3 linked regions of the Danio rerio genome follow. The protein of the gene in region 2 purifies or fractionates together with the protein of the main gene of each other region. This does not show direct contact. Links are inferred from orthologs where the notes say so. Each region holds a gene or a part of one and is shown on either strand. Other genes may lie near its edges.

Region 1 (6,942 bases), on a different chromosome or scaffold from region 2:
CCATAGTACCCGTTTAGTGTGTCCTTATTTCTAAACTCCTCTGTCTATGACCTGAAATCTTCATATGCTTTTCATGGCAGATGTTCCTTGAAATTTAGGAGCGTATACAAATACTGTAAATTATATACAGTTGAAAATCCCAATGAATATTTTGTTCTGGTTGCCAAAAACCAGAACCCATGTTTTATAAAAACCCAAAGTAAACAGGAAAAAAAGAAAGACCCTAAGTCAACCAGAAAATATATTAAAAGAAAATCAGTAGTAACATTTTCATGTGCTAGTAAAGTGCAATTCAACAAGATTTGCAATGTACATACAAGAAAAATGACTGATTCAGACCCTTCGGCCGTCACTCCTTCCCACTCTTACCTTCACCTTTCTGCCCCCAAAAATGCCACTCAGATCTCTTATTAAATTAACAAGCAGTTCAAACAGTCTGCAATCATTTTAGCATTCATTTCCACAGTTCTTGAGAACTATCTTCCAGTGCCCAGTCTCTGACCGTGGGTAGATTGAGCGCCTCGCTCTTAACCGAGAGCGAGTTGACCAGTTCGCAGTGGAACTTGCGGATGTGTCGATACAAGTCCCCTGACTGTGTGAAGCGCCGCTCGCACCACTTGCAAGCATGCGGCTTCTCGCGTGTGTGCACGACGGCATGCCGGCTCAGGTTGTGTGAGTACTGGAAGCTCTTGCCGCAAGTAGTGCAAGTGTAGGGCTTCTCGCCTGAGTGTGTCCTCTCGTGGCGTTTTAACGTGTACATGCAGGAGAAGGTTTTGCCACAGATGGAGCATGTGGGGACGTTGACGTCGCCTGCCGGCTTGGCCCGTACGCCTTCCTGTTCACGAAAATGTGTGCTGAGGTGGATTTGCAGGATATGGGGGCTGGGAAAGACCTTGTTGCATAAGGGGCACATGAAGATCTGGGTATGTGGTGCCCCCAGCATGCTGGAGACATAAGGCAACAGGGAGCTCTCGACTCCCGCAGCCTCCTGCACTCGATCACTGTCTCCGCCGAGGACATCTGTGTCATCATCGCCTCCTTTGTCGTCCCGCTCAAGCTCACTGGCCAGCGAGGCCTCGCGCAGAGCCGAGAGATGAGCTTCCAGGCCCAGCCTCCGCTGCGCAACAAGGCTGAGGTGGGTCCCGTTGGTGCTGGGTGGCTCCTTCACACCACTGTGCTCCATCTCATAGTCACCGCTCACCAGTTCATCATCGTCGGAGCCGGTGTCCTTTTCCACCTTCACTTGAACCAGGGCACTCTGGAGGCTGTCAGGGGTCACAGAGCTGCAGAAGTAAGGGTTGCCAGCAATGTTCTCCCCAGGACCTCCACCAAGGCTCGATTTCACAGAGAGGTCAAGCACACAATCAGTGTCAGCAGAGACTCTCCGAGATGCTGCAGAGCGACGGGACAGAGAGCCAGAAGAGCTGCTGGGGCTGCCGGCAGGGGATTTGCCAGCATCAGGACCATGCGTTTCTGCCTCCCTGGGGCTGGTGGTGGGAGACGTGGTCCGGTCGGAAGGCAGTCGCATCCACATGCTCCCTGGCTCCTGAGGGCTGTCCCGCTTGTTCTCCATGTCCTCATCATCGCTCTGCAGCAGGTCAGCAGTTGCGGGCCGGCCCGTGCTTCCACCTTCTGAGAAACTCTCCACCTTGTCCGAGCAGCTGGACGTGTCCTCTTCCCGCTTGGTGCTGTCAGCCTCAGCCGTGGCCTTCTGCTTGAGCTTCTTCTTGCACACCTTGACGATATCATACATGTGGAGGTAGCTGGCAGCAGCCAGCACATCTTCCACTGGAAGTGATTTAAACTGCAGCTTTCCTTCGTACATGAACTCAAGCAGGAGAGCGAAGGCCGGGGCTGTGACAATGTCGCTGTTCAGATGAACAATGTCCCTTTTGTCTAGCTGGTCCTTGTAAAAGAGGTGGAAGTACATGCTGCATGAAGCCAGCACTGCACGATGGGCTCGGAACTGGGCATCACCGACCAGCACAGTGGAGTCACAAAGGAATCCCTGATGCCTCTGCTCACTCAGACACTGTAGCAAATGTCTGCTGTGGTCTGGAAACTCCATGCTGTCTTCATAACCTGCAAAAGACCACAGATGTTAGTGAGGCTCGCTAGAACAACAATTGTTTTGTCTGTGCTCTGTGTGGAACTTCTCTCTTTCCCACCCGCTCCGTCCCTCTCTCTCCCTCTCTCGCTCCATGCACACAGACATACTCTCACACACTCTAATTCTCCCTCCCTCCCTCCACCCCTGTGGGAACACTGGAAAAATGTTCACCACAGTCCTGACATAAAAGGATTACAAAAAAGCACATGCAATAAGTATAAAATCACGGTTTATATATTATGCTAATTGTATTTTCCTCACTTGTGCACTTTCAAGTATGCAGTGCTGTGTTTAATATTGCATTTCGCACTAACCCTTTTAATTAAAAGTTTAAATCGCATGAGAACTGGGAAATTAAAACAAACATGCCAATAAAAATATTTGTATCGAAAATTACATTTAAAGCAATCGAGCCATGCACATCCCATCCCAATCACTCGAGTATAATCAGATGGCGTGATGTAAGGAGCTGAAGTCCTGATTCCACAGATGCCTGCGCGAGAGAATCTTTCCTGTTTTTTCCCCTCGCTGTGCTCCTGGAGCAGTTATTTATAATAACCCACTTTGGCCAGGACGCCAAGTATAGGTAACAGGCTTACAGGTACACAAACAGCTCACCATCATAGGCACACTGAATAAGTATACTAAGTACCATGATCTCTAAGGTTACGACAATTGAGGTATCAGAATATTAGCGTGACGGGCATAATCAAACGCAGACCGCCTGAAAATAAAATACAAACTAGATTGCACAATATTTTTTTTTTTTACAGACAAATAATAAAAAACAAAAAATGTTCAAATTAAAACTAAAGAGAAAAGAACCTGGAAATCACACCTGTTACCCCTGGAGTTGGTTCCTGTCTAAAAAAATGCACCAGCGTCATGTTCAACCAACGGACTTAAATGAACTCCTTTGAATCTTCATTTAAATCTGATTGGGATAGCAAGCCAAAGCCCCCCCACCCCACCCCAAACAGCGTTCAGACCTTCATTAATGAGGGGCTTATAGGGGGACAGGGGGATAACAAACCTCTCGCCAACCATCTCCTCCCCCTTTACCCCTCCCCAAATCTTTGGAGAAATGGAACATCCTCCCCAAAGAGGCGGTCCACAGCAGATTTACAATACAATCACTTTAAGTGCCCCGTAGTCTACATCAATCCTAATCCTTAAGATGGCTAAAAATAAAGATTGCAGGACAGCTCACAAGGTAGCAGCGATCAAATTAGGAGACTGGGAGGACAGAGAGGGACGGAGAAGGAGGCTTATGAACATCTGATCCAGCTGACTGAGACCATATGGCAGCTGCTGCCCAGATAAAGAGATTAAGACTAGGAGGAGTGCGATTACAGCTGTCTAGCCAATTCAGGCAGCTCAAATCTGCAAGTTCTAAATTAGTCCTTACAAACAGGGAAAAAAAGGAAAGAGTTGAGCAAAAGCCTGACGATGGGACATTTCGAAGAACATTTGCGGATTTATAGCATTTCAGCCGCTTTTAGAAGATTAAGAATTTTGTTCAAATCTCGCCATTTAAAGTAAAAACAGATTTTAACGGATTAACAGCACACAAACACACAAGATTTTCTTGTTTTAAATCAATAATGCTATAATAACTAACTAACCTACCGACAACACAACTGTATGCGGTCACAGCAGAGCAACAATTTGCCACCGAGACTGAGAAGTGACTGAAAAGAAGAGCCGTAAACAAACAGAATAATGAAACGCTTGCCTGGAAACCTCTTCATGGCAACAAAAAGTGTCACTTGTCCCCAGCCTGGTTACACCACACCAGCTCGAAATCCTTTACTTCCCATTTGCGCACACTCTGATGGCAAAAAGACTTAACGAGAGCTCCCTATTCAAAACACATCCCTGTTGCCTGGACCCCCCGGTACAGTACCTGCAGTACGCATCAACTTGATTAAGTCCACAGTTGTGGTAGCGCCGGCTGTAACTCCCTCCGCCGAATCAATGAAAGGGTAGAGACGCGAAAGAAAGAGAGAGAAAATCAAACTGTGAGGGACAGATGCAAAGTGGAGGAGATGTTGGAGGGGAATGCGATGCCTCCTCCTGCACACAGATCCGCACACACACTAACTCCCAGTCTGTGCGTTAGAAGAAAAGACTGGGGGATGGCAGCCTGTCAGCTGCTCTGACATCATGTTCAGATGGAAATGCTACCTCCAGCTGTGCTCCTTTTAGTGCCATATGCTACTCCTCTACACTCTTGCCACCAGCCTCTCCTTTATACAACTTTGTTTCTCTTTCCCCCTTTAAAAAAACGGGAGGAAGGGAAGTGTTGTGAGGTGATTCTGTAGAAAACTAGCCAATTCCCCCCTTCGGTTGTAATCTCTCAGCAAAGAAGAACTTGGAAATGGGTCCGTCTGAAAGCCGACACTTTTTTCTAACCTAGTTTCCTGCACTGAGAATTTAAATACCCTCAAGTTTTTTTTTCTTCCCCCCTCTCCTTCCAGTAACCATAAACAAAGGCCAGCACAGCACATTTGCAACTGACAGATCCACGCAGCTGATATTGTTTTCGACTTCTTTATGGTTCACTGGCCGCGCCATTACCGTCATTCATTTTACTAACCCTTTGGACAACTGACAGAGGAGGGGGAAAAAAGAAATAAGAAACAATGGGAACAATCATACGGGCCTTATAAGTACGGTTCAAACAAAAGCCACTGTATTCCGCTTAAGCACTTACAAAACTCCTTTCTTCCCAAGTATCTTGCTCATTTCTGTTCAACTTCTTTGGTACGAGCCAAACAACAGTTTCCTGTTTACCACAAAAATCAGCAAAACAAAGATATGCAACGACAATGTGAAGGTCTCTTCTGAAGGATGTCACACTCATGAATACAAACAACTCACTGATATGCACAAATAATACAAAACTGAAGAGTTCACTGCATCTGTCACGTGCATTACACTTGCTCTCAGGGGATTTTAAACAATTAACAGGAGCTTTTTTTATTTCAGGAAAACCACCATCACTGCTTAGTTATAATAATAAACAACACTTTACAGATTTACAAAGAAATTGGTTAACATAAAGATATAACTTTGCAAAGAAACTTGTTTTGTACAATGACACGTCAAAGCAAAATAGTTTCCAAACCTGGGAAGTTCTCCAGAAAGACCGAATGGTGCCTAGTTAGCCATTCTAAAACTTAAAACATATTACAACAAACAAAAAGACGCTAGAATAAAACAAAGTACGAGTCCACCTGGGTAGGATATGGTATTATAGCAGGCTACTCCTACACAAACACACTCACACACAGCGCACTGCCGACGGTCTTTCTCTGGATCCTGACCCCGTACGTTCAGGAAAAGCTAGCTTGCGTGGCTAACAAATAAAAAGTAAGCCTTCAACCTGCAGTGTTACAGTTTTGCGGCAGGCCCCGATGCCACGCGCTCGAGCAACTCATTCTGCGCGTCAAGACCAACAACAGTCGCGTGAAAAAGATCGCTACTTTTCCCCATAACAATCCAGCCCGTTCTCCAACCCCCTTTTCATCTCCTTAAAGAGCACCTCGTATCACAGGCACTTACAGGCAGCCAGGTCCAACGTCTTCCTGCTTCCTCCGTCTAATCCTCTCAGCGAGAAAAACAACTCGATTGACTTTCAACTGCTTTCCATAACAACCTGCAGTGGCAGGAAAGACGGAGCGGGCGAGCGGAGCGACGAGAGAGCTGCGGCAGCCAGATGTTTCCGAGCTGTTGCTACTCAACTCTCCGGTAAAGAGGAAGCGCTTGACTGGCAGCGCGCAAGCCAATGGAAGAGGCGAAAAGAAAAGCGAAGGCAAATTGGAAGCTGCCGCTGAGGGGGGAAGAGGGAGGGATGTCTCTTTCTCGGCGTAGGTTGACACCAGGCAACAGTGAGAAAGCAGAAAAAAAGGCCGAGCGAGCGAACGGACGGGTTCCTCGAGCAGACTGGCGCAGCGCGCGGATCGAGGGACATTGCGCAATGTTACGTGGGTACTGTAGTCACGGGCAGAGCAGCGGTGGAGAACAGGTGCACTGCAACTTCCTCCAGAGCCGCGGACACACACGCACACACACAGAGGTAGTCACATGGCTAGTGGAGAACGATATGGCCCCTTGAAATAATATTGCAAATGAGAAACAGACAGACGATATTAGCCGAGCGCCGAAATTATTTACAATTGAATAAAATAAAAAGTAACATGTTTCAAAAGTAAGCCCTAGTGTTCATAATCTTCAAATATTTATCGTACAAAATAGGTCCTCAAGTGGATGAATAATAATAACAATTATTATTATTATATGGAATAATAATTATTGTTGGAAATGATAATGATTATTATCTGAAATACTGCCAATGGGTTTCCTAGCTCTAATTGCGAGATTTAATGCGAATTTTATTGCCATTTCATCCGCAGACAAACAGCATTACACGCTTTTTAAAATAAGAGAGCACATCAACTCAATTTGAAGTTGTTCATCTTTATTCATTTTACATTGTTCTAGATTAAATTATAATGCGTATATGGCCTACAGATGAAAAAAATCAAACACAAATAAATATATAAATAAATAAACACTGCAACCCACTGTACTGGGTTGCAGCTGGAAGGGCATCCGTTGTGTAAAACATATGTTGGATAAGTTGGCGGTTCATTCCGCTGTGGTGACCCATGATTAATAAAAGGACTAAGCCAAAGGAAAATGAATGAATGAATAAATAAACACAAATAAATAACTAGAAACATAACTGGATAAGATTACGAATGATGGAAGAAAAAGACAATAGTCTTTCTTAAGCAATGAAGTACATTGTGTTATTGTATTAGGCC
Region 2 (4,635 bases):
TGTGTGTGAAAATCCCAGTAGATCAGCAGTTTCTGAAATACTCAGAGCAGCCCGTCTGGCAGCAACAACCATGCCACGTTCAAAGTCACCCAAAATCCCCTTTCTTCCCCATTCTGATGCTCACTTTGAACTGCAGCAGATCGTCTTGACCATGTCTACATGCCTAAATGCAGTGAGTTGCTCCTATGGCTAAATATGAAATAAAGCTGATTTGAGATCAGTATTTTGATATTTGATCTGTAAATACTTTGCAGCAGATGTCATCATACACTTAAACTCCATGAGGTGTGTGTGTGTACCTATGTGTGTGTGTGCGTATGTGTGGGTCCCTGTGTGTCTATCTGTGCATGTGTGTGTGTGTGCATGTATGTGTGTGTGCATGTATGTGTGTGTGTGTGCGTGTGTGTGTGTGTGTGCATGTATGTGTGTGTGTTTGTGTGTGTGTGTGTGTGTGTGTGTGATTACAGCAGGTCATGTGAGATGTTCACCTTCAGTCTGCATGTGATTCACACACTTGACATTGTAGATGATGAAGGTTTGGCCTGGATCCCTGCGGTGATTATCTCACGCAGAACATGTGCAGCGTCTGTGTTTCATCACAGCCGCTCGCTTTCAAGTGCACATCAGATCCAGCGCTGTGTGTGTGTGTTTGTGTGTGTCTGTGTGTGTGTGTGTGCATGCATTTGTGCGTGCGTGTGTGTGCATGTGTGTGTGTGTGTGTGTGTGTGTGTGTGTGTGTGTGTGTGTGTCTGATATCAACATGTAGAGCTCTACACTGCAAACAGCCATCATCCTCAGTGTTTCAGTCTGGCTCTACATAGAAAAGTTTTTAATAAGAGACATTTGCTCAAGAAGCAGGAGACTTATTATGCAGAGATCACTTCTATAAGGGGTTTAACCCCAGTTGTGTGTCAGCAGTGTGTGAATATCTCCAGCCTCTAATGGTCAACATGAATTAATTGTGTTTGTTATAATCAGACTTGATGAATGAAACTCTTTGATTAACATTCTGCCTTTGTACGTGTCATCAGATGGGGAAAGCCCCGCCCACTAGTGCCCATCTCTCCCTTATTAACATAAACAGCAGCCCTGAGTGAGAAGCAGTCGTCTGTCCATTAGAGTGTTTGACAGGCCCGGCGCTACGGGGGGGCAAAGGGTGGCTTTGCCCCCTCAGAAAGAGTTTGTGCCCCCCCCAGTTTTCATAAAAGATTGTTCACTCAAACTGAAAATTCTTTCTGTCATTAAATATTAACACTCCCGTAGTTCCAACCTTCAGAACACACATTTAAATATTTTAAAATATATGACATAGCAATTGAATTATGAAAATGGTGAGATTAAAGCTAGTCCTATAGTCCAGAGATCGGGTCCCCGCGTCAGGTCAGGTGCGCCCGTAAATAGCCTTTAAAACGCGCACACGGCGATGGAGGCGCACTCAACTCACAAGGGAGAAAATGGGTGACATGATAGGAGCAGCTTAATTCATTACATGCTTTGGTTAACTAATTATTTAAACAACTCTCTTGAGCTCTAAAAGGCAAAATCACATTTTTTTTTGCTGTTAAATTTGCTGTTAAATTAATTTTAGCAGAGACGCAACTGCCAGTCATTTATTAGTTATTCGGGAAGATGTAGCCTAATAAAAATGTTTTAATAAAAACAAATAGTTTACTGCACAGTCCCACAGTAGGCTACACTATAAATAATATTTTAATTTATTTATTAATATTATTATTAATATTATTACAATTAAGCCAAAATTGACAAAACGCAGAACCCTTTAAAAGTTTGCTTTCATTTTGCTGAAAAGTGCACTTTTACAGTTGTGTAGAGAAACATCCCATTATGCAGCAGCAGTCAAGCTATAACACATAATAAATGCCTTTTGGGTTTAAAGATGATCGGCCTGCGAAGTCAAGTTTGCAGTGTTATAAATGGAATAGGTATAGTGCTTAAGTGGATTTACCACGGATCAACCGAGAAACCTCGTGCGCTGCAGGGAGGCAGAATGATAATCTTTTAAAAATATGTCATTTAGGCTATACTGCTATTTGCTCATGCAAAATTAAACAACATACAATATATTGTAGATCTATTTTAAGAGCTAAAATACAACATATCGAGTTTGTTTTGACTTGTAACTCATGGCCCTAAAATGAAAATAACCTGAAAACAAGTTATTAAAAAAAGGCTTAATAAATAAAATAATTAATAAATAAAATTACGGGTAAGCCAGTAACCTAATGGTTTATGATGGTTTACAATATATCACGAAAAAAGCACACTTATGATAGCCTAAGATAAATCTTTGTTTTTACATTTAAAATGATTTAAAAAATAAAATAAAGTTATATAGCCTGAGTTGCGTGTTATCCGTGCCAAAATTTAACCAATTTTCACAGTAATAACATGTGAATTTTGGTATCTTTTTAGGTATTTTTCTGGCTACACTAATGCCTTAAAATGTAACTAAGTAAATGTTTTAAATGACATTAGATTGTAACATTTAGCTTTTCCCTAACACTGATGTTGGTTGGATAATATAGGAAGCGGGATGACTCGGTTAAGCTGATTTCACTATATTTATTTACCGGTTAAATTAATAGTCTGTTCGTGGGTCAGCTTGCATGTGTGGGCATAATTTGACGTCTTTACCTAAAACTTTAAACATTCATAGGCCTGTTATTTGATTTTGAAATAAAACGAAAATAAGGAGAATAACATGATTTAAAGCACTCGTTTGGCACTGAAGCCATCATCCGTCTGCATTAATAAGCGGTATGCATTACCATCGTTAATAAAATTCGTCATAGCGAAACTGCATATTGTTATTACTATTAAAACGTAGCCTATATTACTGCCTTAGGTCAGTAGCTTAGGCAGTAATGCAAAGTAAAAATAAATGTGAATAAATAGCCTAAATGAAAGAAACAAGAGACCAAAATCAGTCACCAGGTCTAGTGCCCCCCCTATGGATTTAAAGTGCCCCCTCAGTTTTGACTACCTGGCGCCGGGCCTGGTGTTTGAGCTGCTGAAGATAATGTCAGCATAGACTAAGAGGATTATAGATGTGGAGTTTTAGATGACAGGAGTCTCCATAGACTGACAGAAGCATGAACACACACTCACACTGAAGCGCACATGCACACCTGACAACACACACACACTGCTGTTTTACAGCTGCCACTATGATGATGCACAGGTGTCTGTAGCTCCGCCCTCTTCTCAAAAGAGCACAATCTCATTTGCATTTAAAGTGACAGTCACCAAAACACCACAATTAGGATTAAAGCCTGAAAGGGTCAGTTTCAGAGAGCTGTTGTGTGCCACAGTTGAGTTGTGTGCTATAATTCTGACTAATTCCTAAACTGTGTGTCTGTGTGTGTTTGTTTTTCTGTTGCAGGTGAACGAGGAGACAGTGGAGAGACTGGTGCTGCAGTATCCACACATTGTGTTCAGTACGGTGATGCAGGACTGTAAGAGAACACTGGAGAGAGCCTATCAGATGGGCTGGAGCCCCAACACGTCCAGCGCGTCCTAACACACACACACACACACACACACACACACACACACACAAACACACATGCATATATACACATACACAAACACATATATGCGCACACATAGATGCACACAAACACACATACTGTACACACACACACCTGTTCATGACGCCGCTGCAGATTCACTATCATAACTATGCCGTTTATTCCGCCTTCCTTTATCAACATTATGCATCTGAAACATTCACCGCTGTCAAACATGTTCACATGATTCTGCATTTATTTACCAGATTCAGAAACACACCCGGCTCATATTTCTCTCTGAAATCAGGAGAAGGACATGCTGATGGGGTTTTTGCGTGATGAACACTGTTTTTGGACCACAGGATTTTTGCATTTGGACATTTCCATGCAGCTCTCATTATTGCCACGCATCTGGACATTTGACTTTAGTGATTTGTTTGTTACTCTCATCATCATCAGAGGTGATTTTCATTGCTTTCCCATTACTGAAACACACTTGAGTTTTGCCGGAGTAAACAAATACTTAAGTGATGTTGTTATCATTTTTAGCTATTAAAATATTGTTAAATCAGTATATGTGTTTGAGAACCTAAATAGTTTATTTAAAACAACAATAATAATAATAATAATAATAATAATACAAATAAAAATGTTAAAACATGTGGAAATCTGCTAATCGGGGTAAAAAAAAATGAACATTGATTTAAGATTATTTTTTGGACCCGTCGGCTACATTTTTGTTCTTGTTATGCATTATTGGATTCATTTTTGTAAATAAATAAAAATAAAAAATAAAAATAAACACTAAAAATATTTTAGTGTGTACTTGCACTGCGAAAAAAAAGGGTTTAATTATTATTATTATTATTATTATTTAATATTATTATTATTAGTTTTGCTTGTTTTATATGCTCTCAAATCAAGACACATTATATAAAGGAACAAACTTGCTGTTTTTTATTCTATATAAAGTTGAAATAAATAAATAAATAAAAATTAAGTGCATGCTTAAAACAAGAAGAAATCCAGAAAAAAAGATAGTTTTTCCTAATTGTCAGCTTGAAGTCTAATCATTCAAGTTTAATCTTAAAGAAATGCTGGAGTA
Region 3 (6,763 bases), on a different chromosome or scaffold from region 2:
TGCGGCTGCACCCACTGCGTACAAACTTGCTGGATAAATTGGCGGTTCATTCTGCTGTGGCGACCTCTGATTAATAAAGGGACTTAGCCGACAAGAAAGTGAATGAATGAATTTAACACCTTCAAGATATTTCAGTAAGTTTAAGACTTTTTAAGACCCTGCAGACACCCTAAATACAATAAATAGGCTACTCATACATTCTAGAGTTCATCATAAATAATATTAAATAAACAAACAACAAATTACACCGTAAAATGTGACATCTGGAGACATACACTGCAAAAAATGCTTCGTACATTTTACTTTAAAAAAATTGAAGCATCAGCCTTTTGAGTGTTTCAAACTCATTTTATTTTAGTTTGTCCTATTAGACTTTACGTGTTCTCAACTTGCACTTTCAAGTAACAATTTTTAGTTTTGGGTTTCTCAAACCAAAAATGTGCTTATTTTGAGTGCATGTATTTGGACTTGTGGGGGAAACCGAACCACCTGGAGGAAACCTACAAAAACATGGGAAAAACATGCAAACTCCACACAGAAACGCCAACTGATCCAGCCAAGGCTTGAACCAGGGACCTTCTTGCTGTGAGGCAATTGTGCTACCCACTGCGCCACCATTGCTGCTGTATTTTTACCATTATTCAGTAAAAATTGAACAGAGCTTTTAAGTAATGGAAACATAATTTTATTATTTTTCAACCTTTATTAAGTATTGAATCCTTTTTAGTTTTCTACATCAAACAATAAACACAAAAATAGTCAAATGCATTTATTAAGTTGAAAATTCTCTTTTTTTAAGTATTACAGAATTTATACCACAATGTTAAAACATCATTTTAACTTTATTTTTTTTAATACTCTGGCAAAGGCTACAACTTTAACCCCTTTAACAGAAGCTATAAATGACAGAGATAATGATAAAGGGTTACCGGTATTGCTCTTTTTAATGTACACTAAAAATATTTTGTATTCCTTATGAAAAAAAGAAAATTGGACACTCTGGCAATTAGTAATCCAAGCCATTTTTTCCAGATCTTCAGCGAATAACACACAATTACCATCCTAATTTCGACATGATAATGGTAATGATTAGCAGGGCTAACAAAAATGAAGTCCTGCTCCTCCATGAGGGTGAGCTCGGAGTTTTTAATTCACCTACAGTCAAACCGGACACGCCCAGAGGAAGCTGCATGCGCTTATAAATCGTCAATCGTGTTATCATGTTTGTAGTGTAGGAAATGACGCCACCCACTGGGTGACAGGCTTTAATAATCCTACAGAAAGTAGCCTATATTCTAATCTAAACAATCAAGGAAATATTCGTCGTTTTTTTTTTTTTTATCTCAAATGGCCCTTCAAATACACCATATGTGATCTTAAATTTGATGTTGTAAAACTGTAAATAGACATGTCTCAGTTTATTTTTTTAAGTTTTAAAATGAAATATGGCGGTTCGTTCCGCTGTGGCGACCCCTGGTAAATCAGGGATTAAGCCTAAAGATGAGAGTGATTATGGTACGAGTTGGAGATAAAATGAATAGATGAATAAAAAAATCATGACAACAACATAAAACTATTTTGACAGTGACAGTGCCTTTTCTTGCATTTTATATAGCTTCGCTGCGATAATGTATTTTAACTATCTGTATTTGTAATACAATGCAGTATTAAAGTTTCCAGATATTTCAAATTGTGTGATGAAATATGTATTAAAAATCAACCAGTGTCAAAACTTGTATATTTAACCATCCACCTCCATTACCACCTGGAAAATACACCTATGCATGCATTCATCGCGAGAAGCTTTTTACTCCAGCGAGTCAGCAGCGACCCACCTGTCCTGATCATCGGGACTCGCGCGACAAACATGGAGCGCCGGCTGTAATGTCACGCGCCGGGGAGGGCGTGAAAGGGATACAAAGACTTATTGGTTCGAGACGTGTAGCCCTTTAGATGAAAAAGCATGCGGAAAATGGGTGCAGTCATCGACACAAAAGACCCCTGGCTGTTCGGCGTCACCCCCATCTTCCTTTAACACGAGCCCCCCCTCCTCCCTCTGACCGAGATGCATTGTGGGGGAAGTCGTTGCCATTCGACCTCTGCGGGGCCTGCGCGGACGCAGACAGAACCCTGAAATTCATTATGCCTTTAAAACCCCTATTTATTTCCGCATAACCTACATACTCTCACCAGGAGGCCGGAGCGCGGAAAAACGGCTCATTTCATGCGGAATACTTTATTTACGAGAGCCGCGATCGGATTTTTGTTTTGTTGAGGAAGTGAAGATTGTAATTTATTTCTAGAAAAATGTCCGGAGAGCGAAACCGCAGGTCGCTGGCTTTCCGAGGAGGTGGATTAGCCGTCACCGGTCCCAGCGCCGTCGGAGGAGGCAGCAACGGCAACAGCTGTGAGGCCCCGGCCTGTCAAGACCGACATTTGAACGGGAACAGACCGGATCAGGAGGACGATCGGGATTTGGGGGCGAAAGGACCATCGCTGGGGAAAGTCGAGGGCGGGGGGTCTGTCAGCGACAGCACGGAGCCGGAGGCAGAGGAGGACGAGGACCCGGAAGGGGGCACTTGGACAGCGGGGAAACATAATGACAGGGGCGTTTTAAACAGCGTAATGCTGAAAACCGAGGGCTGTAAGAAGGCGACTGGCAACGGTGTGAACCGGGAGGACGGGAGCACGGGAGAGGCGGAAGAAACGGCCGCGAGAAAGCCGCTGCTGGAGATGAGACCTCAGACGCTGCTGCAGAAACACTCGCTCTTCCAAGCCTGCTGGCTGGAGGAGTTTCCCTGGCTCAGATTCAGCCACGAAACAGGACTCATGTCTTGCTCCTGGTGCCATAACATCGCCACCAACAACAGCGACGAGTTGGTAAAAGGCAGTCGGAATTACAAGCGGGCCTTGCTGCTGAGACATCACCTGTCCTCGGAGCACGGCAGGAATGACCCGACCAAACAGGTACGTTCGCAGTCTGGTATAACGGGGACACTCGCACCGCCGACGAAGACGAGTTTAAAAGGGTTGTTCCGTGTTTCGTTAACAAACGTCGACGTTTTTATTCCTATTTTAGAGTGGGAATGTTGTTTTCGAAGAGGTTTAGCGAGCTAACAAGTATGTTAGCTATACTCAAGTCGGAGGTAGCAGGTTAGCATGTGTGAGCTAACTGGATCAGCGCTGTCAATTCGTGAGGGGAGCTTAAAACCCTCGACTGCCTCGTTTAAAGTATAAATATTTATCTTAGATGTCATATGCTCATTTAAAGCCTTACAGAAACCATATTGTTTCCTTTTTTACAAGAATTCGTTGTGTGATTGTGTAGGATTTAATACGAGATATCAATTATTAAACAGACCGCAAGTGAGATTGTGACTCAAAATGTTCTCTCTGTTTCCTGCGTTGCACTGTAATTATCAACCCTGGTTACCAGGGTAACTAACCTGATTGCCACAGAGGTCACACAATGGCAAGGGCTTGACCCTGCTACCTTTGGGGAGCCGCACCCCTTCCCAACCCCCTCGCTGTAAAAAGTGACCTCTGGCACATCTCACCCTCCCCTTTTAGGGCATCTAAATTAGAGGCATTGTGTTAGGTGACTCCCCAAGATCCATAGATAGTGTGTGTCATTTGCTACATTGGACTGGAGTGAATTATGTCGCCTGTAAGGACAGCAATGCCTGATACGTGCAGACCACTGCAATGAGCAGAATGAGATTAGACTCGAAGTCATATCACACCAGAACAATGTTCTATTGGTCATTTGCTCGTATAATGCACTGCAAAAGTGAAATTTGATTCATATTTCTTCTGTCTTCTATACCCGGAGGAGATGTCGTTTAAGATAAATTGTTATTGATCAATATTTGTAATGCTTCAGATTCCATGTGCTCTATCAAGCCACAGAATGACTGATTCAAATACTTAATTCCACCCAGAAGATGCCGTGTTATTGGTTTGCCTGTGAAATCCCTTAAGGATTGCGTGGTATGATAACGTCCAGTCTGTCTAATCAGGGTGACACAAAGTGTTCCACTAACTCAATTTATACCCCTCACTAATTAGGAAGGAAAGGAGGAGGAGATTACCACTGACTCCCTAGCAACACGGGGTTAAGACGCTCCAGCAGATCTGAACCCTGTAACACTTTCCTGTTCGCTCACTTTGAAGTGACCTCTGTCAGTCAACCTTTTCACAGTACTGTTTCTGTTGTATTGAGTTGAATGTGTTATAAATGTGCAAAAATACACACATCGCACAGAAAACTTGGCATATTGTCTGACATCGATTGTGCGTATTAAAGCTCTGTAGATCTATCTATCTATCTATCTATCTATCTATCTATCTATCTATCTATCTATCTATCTATCTATCTATCTATCTATCTATCCCAAGTACTATAGACAAATTAAAAATGTTTGTCTGTTTCTCCTATACTATACTAATTCCATCCATCCATCCATCCATTAATTAGTAAATATCCCAAATACTATAGACAAATTCTATCTATCTATCTATCTATCTATCTATCTATCTATCTATCTATCTATCTATCTATCTATCTATCTATCTATCTATCATTACTAAATATCCCAAATACTATAGACAAATTATAAATGTTTGTCTGTTTCTCCTATACTATGCTAATTCCATCCATCCATCCATCCATCCATCCATCCATCCATCCATCCATCCATCCATCCATTAGTAAATATCCCAAATACTATAGACAAATACTAAAGATGTCTATCTATCTATCTATCTATCTATCTATCTATCTATCTATCTATCTATCTATCTATCTATCTATCTATCTATCTATCTATCTATCTATCTATCTATCTATCTATCTATCTATCTATCCCAAGTACTATAGACAAATTATAAATGTTTGTCTGTTTCTCCTATACTATACTAATTCCATCCATCCATCCATCCATCCATCCATCCATCCATTAGTAAATATCCCAAATACTATAGACAAATTATAAATGTTTGTTTCTCCTATACTACACTAAATCCACCCACCCACCCACCCATCCATCCATCCACCCAACGATCCATCCATCCTCCCACCCATCCTCCCACCCATCCATCCATCCATCCATCCATCCATCCATCCATCCATCCATCCATCCATCCATCCATCCATCCATCCATCCATCATTAGTAAATATCCCAAATACTATAGACAAATTATATCTATCTTATCTATCTATCTATCTATCTATCTATCTATCTATCTATCTATCTATCTATCTATCTATCTATCTATCTATCTATCTATCTATCTATCTATCTATCTATCTATCTATCTATCTATCTATCTATCATTACTAAATATCCCAAGTACTATAGACAAATTATAAATGTTTGTCTGTTTTCCTATACTATACTAATTCCATCCATCCATCCATCCATTAGTAAATATCCCAAATACTATAGACAAATTCTATCTATCTATCTATCTATCTATCTATCTATCTATCTATCTATCTATCTATCTATCTATCTATCTATCTATCTATCTATCTATCTATCTATCTATCTATCTATCTATCTATCTATCTATCTATCTATCTATCTATCTATCATTACTAAATATCCCAAGTACTATAGACAAATTATAAATGTTTGTCTGTTTTCCTATACTATACTAATTCCATCCATCCATCCATCCATTAGTAAATATCCCAAATACTATAGACAAATTCTATCTATCTATCTATCTATCTATCTATCTATCTATCTATCTATCTATCTATCTATCTATCTATCTATCTATCTATCTATCTATCTATCTATCTATCTATCTATCTATCTATCTATCTATCTATCTATCTATCTAGTTATGATTTACTTTTGTCAAAAAGTGTGTGATAGCTGACAGGAAGACCACAATATCTTGGAAGAATAGCATCTGTCTTAAAGTGGGCTGTGCAGAACATTAGGCTGTCTGAGTAGAGAGAGACTTTTCTGGTAGGCCACATCCTCCAATAGCCAATTTCATAATTGTGATCCATTATGTTTTTCAGTGCAGCGACTGTCCGTCATAATGGGCTAAATTTCTTCACTGGTCCATATCAAGCTCCTGTAATTTAATTAGCCCTAAAGCAGGGTATCTGGGATGCCTCATTCTCCTGTCTGGACTTAAAACTATTTGCCCTTTCTTCCAGTTATTAGTGAGCTCCAATGAAGACGAGGGTCTCCACCCCAGTGCTGTCTGCCGCTCTGAGATATGTGTGTATTGGGTCAGGGGGGGTTGTTGTGGTGGCGTTGTTGTTGTTGGTGCTGGTGGGGGAGAATTCCCTGGAATTTTGTATCGATGAGCCCTGCTCTTTGTTGGGAGGCCCAGATTCTGGCATTCCCCTCCCACACCTTGGGTCAAGCACACTGCTGCATTGTTCATGCATCTGGATGAGGGGACCAGGCGCTGGCCTCAGGGGCTGGGATGGCTCAGGAAGACTATGCGCAAGGAAAACAAAACCAACGTTCCTGTTGTCTGAGGCACAATGTCCCCCTAACATGCCACTTGCGTAGTGTATTCTCACTGCGGCACTGGTAGGTGATAAAGGCACGGCTCTCTGTTGCTGAAGGCTATGTGTTTAAATTTTGGGGCTATTGTTGGCTTGCTGTAAATGGAACACGTTGGAAGTGTACAATAGAATAATGGGTGTTGGCAACACATTGCCTGAAGAGCTTTAGACGACTCTCTCCTCAACTACTGCACAGGAGTAGGGTAGTGGTATTGGTGGTGGTT

Evidence for each region.
Region 1: the proteins of fbxl17 (region 2) and zbtb18 purify together in Homo sapiens (co-immunoprecipitation; 3 studies listed by BioGRID and IntAct, with this or other methods). This does not show direct contact. The link is inferred for Danio rerio from reciprocal best matches to the Homo sapiens genes FBXL17 and ZBTB18.
Region 3: the proteins of fbxl17 (region 2) and zbtb10 purify together in Homo sapiens (affinity purification with western blotting; 3 studies listed by BioGRID and IntAct, with this or other methods). This does not show direct contact. The link is inferred for Danio rerio from reciprocal best matches to the Homo sapiens genes FBXL17 and ZBTB10.

What each region holds. Positions count from the first base shown.
Region 1 is NC_133188.1:11,855,724-11,862,665, reverse strand, and holds the start of zbtb18 (zinc finger and BTB domain-containing protein 18), read right to left. Parts: upstream 4,212-6,942; 5' UTR 4,030-4,211; coding exon 4,017-4,029; intron 2,083-4,016; coding exon 455-2,082; 3' UTR 1-454.
Region 2 is NC_133183.1:2,020,116-2,024,750, forward strand, and holds the end of fbxl17 (F-box/LRR-repeat protein 17), read left to right. Parts: intron 1-3,403; coding exon 3,404-3,541; 3' UTR 3,542-4,102; downstream 4,103-4,635. UniProt on the Homo sapiens protein: Substrate-recognition component of the SCF(FBXL17) E3 ubiquitin ligase complex, a key component of a quality control pathway required to ensure functional dimerization of BTB domain-containing proteins (dimerization quality control, DQC).
Region 3 is NC_133194.1:34,341,821-34,348,583, reverse strand, and holds the start of zbtb10 (zinc finger and BTB domain-containing protein 10), read left to right. Parts: upstream 1-2,552; 5' UTR 2,553-2,625; coding exon 2,626-2,967; intron 2,968-6,763. UniProt on the Homo sapiens protein: May be involved in transcriptional regulation.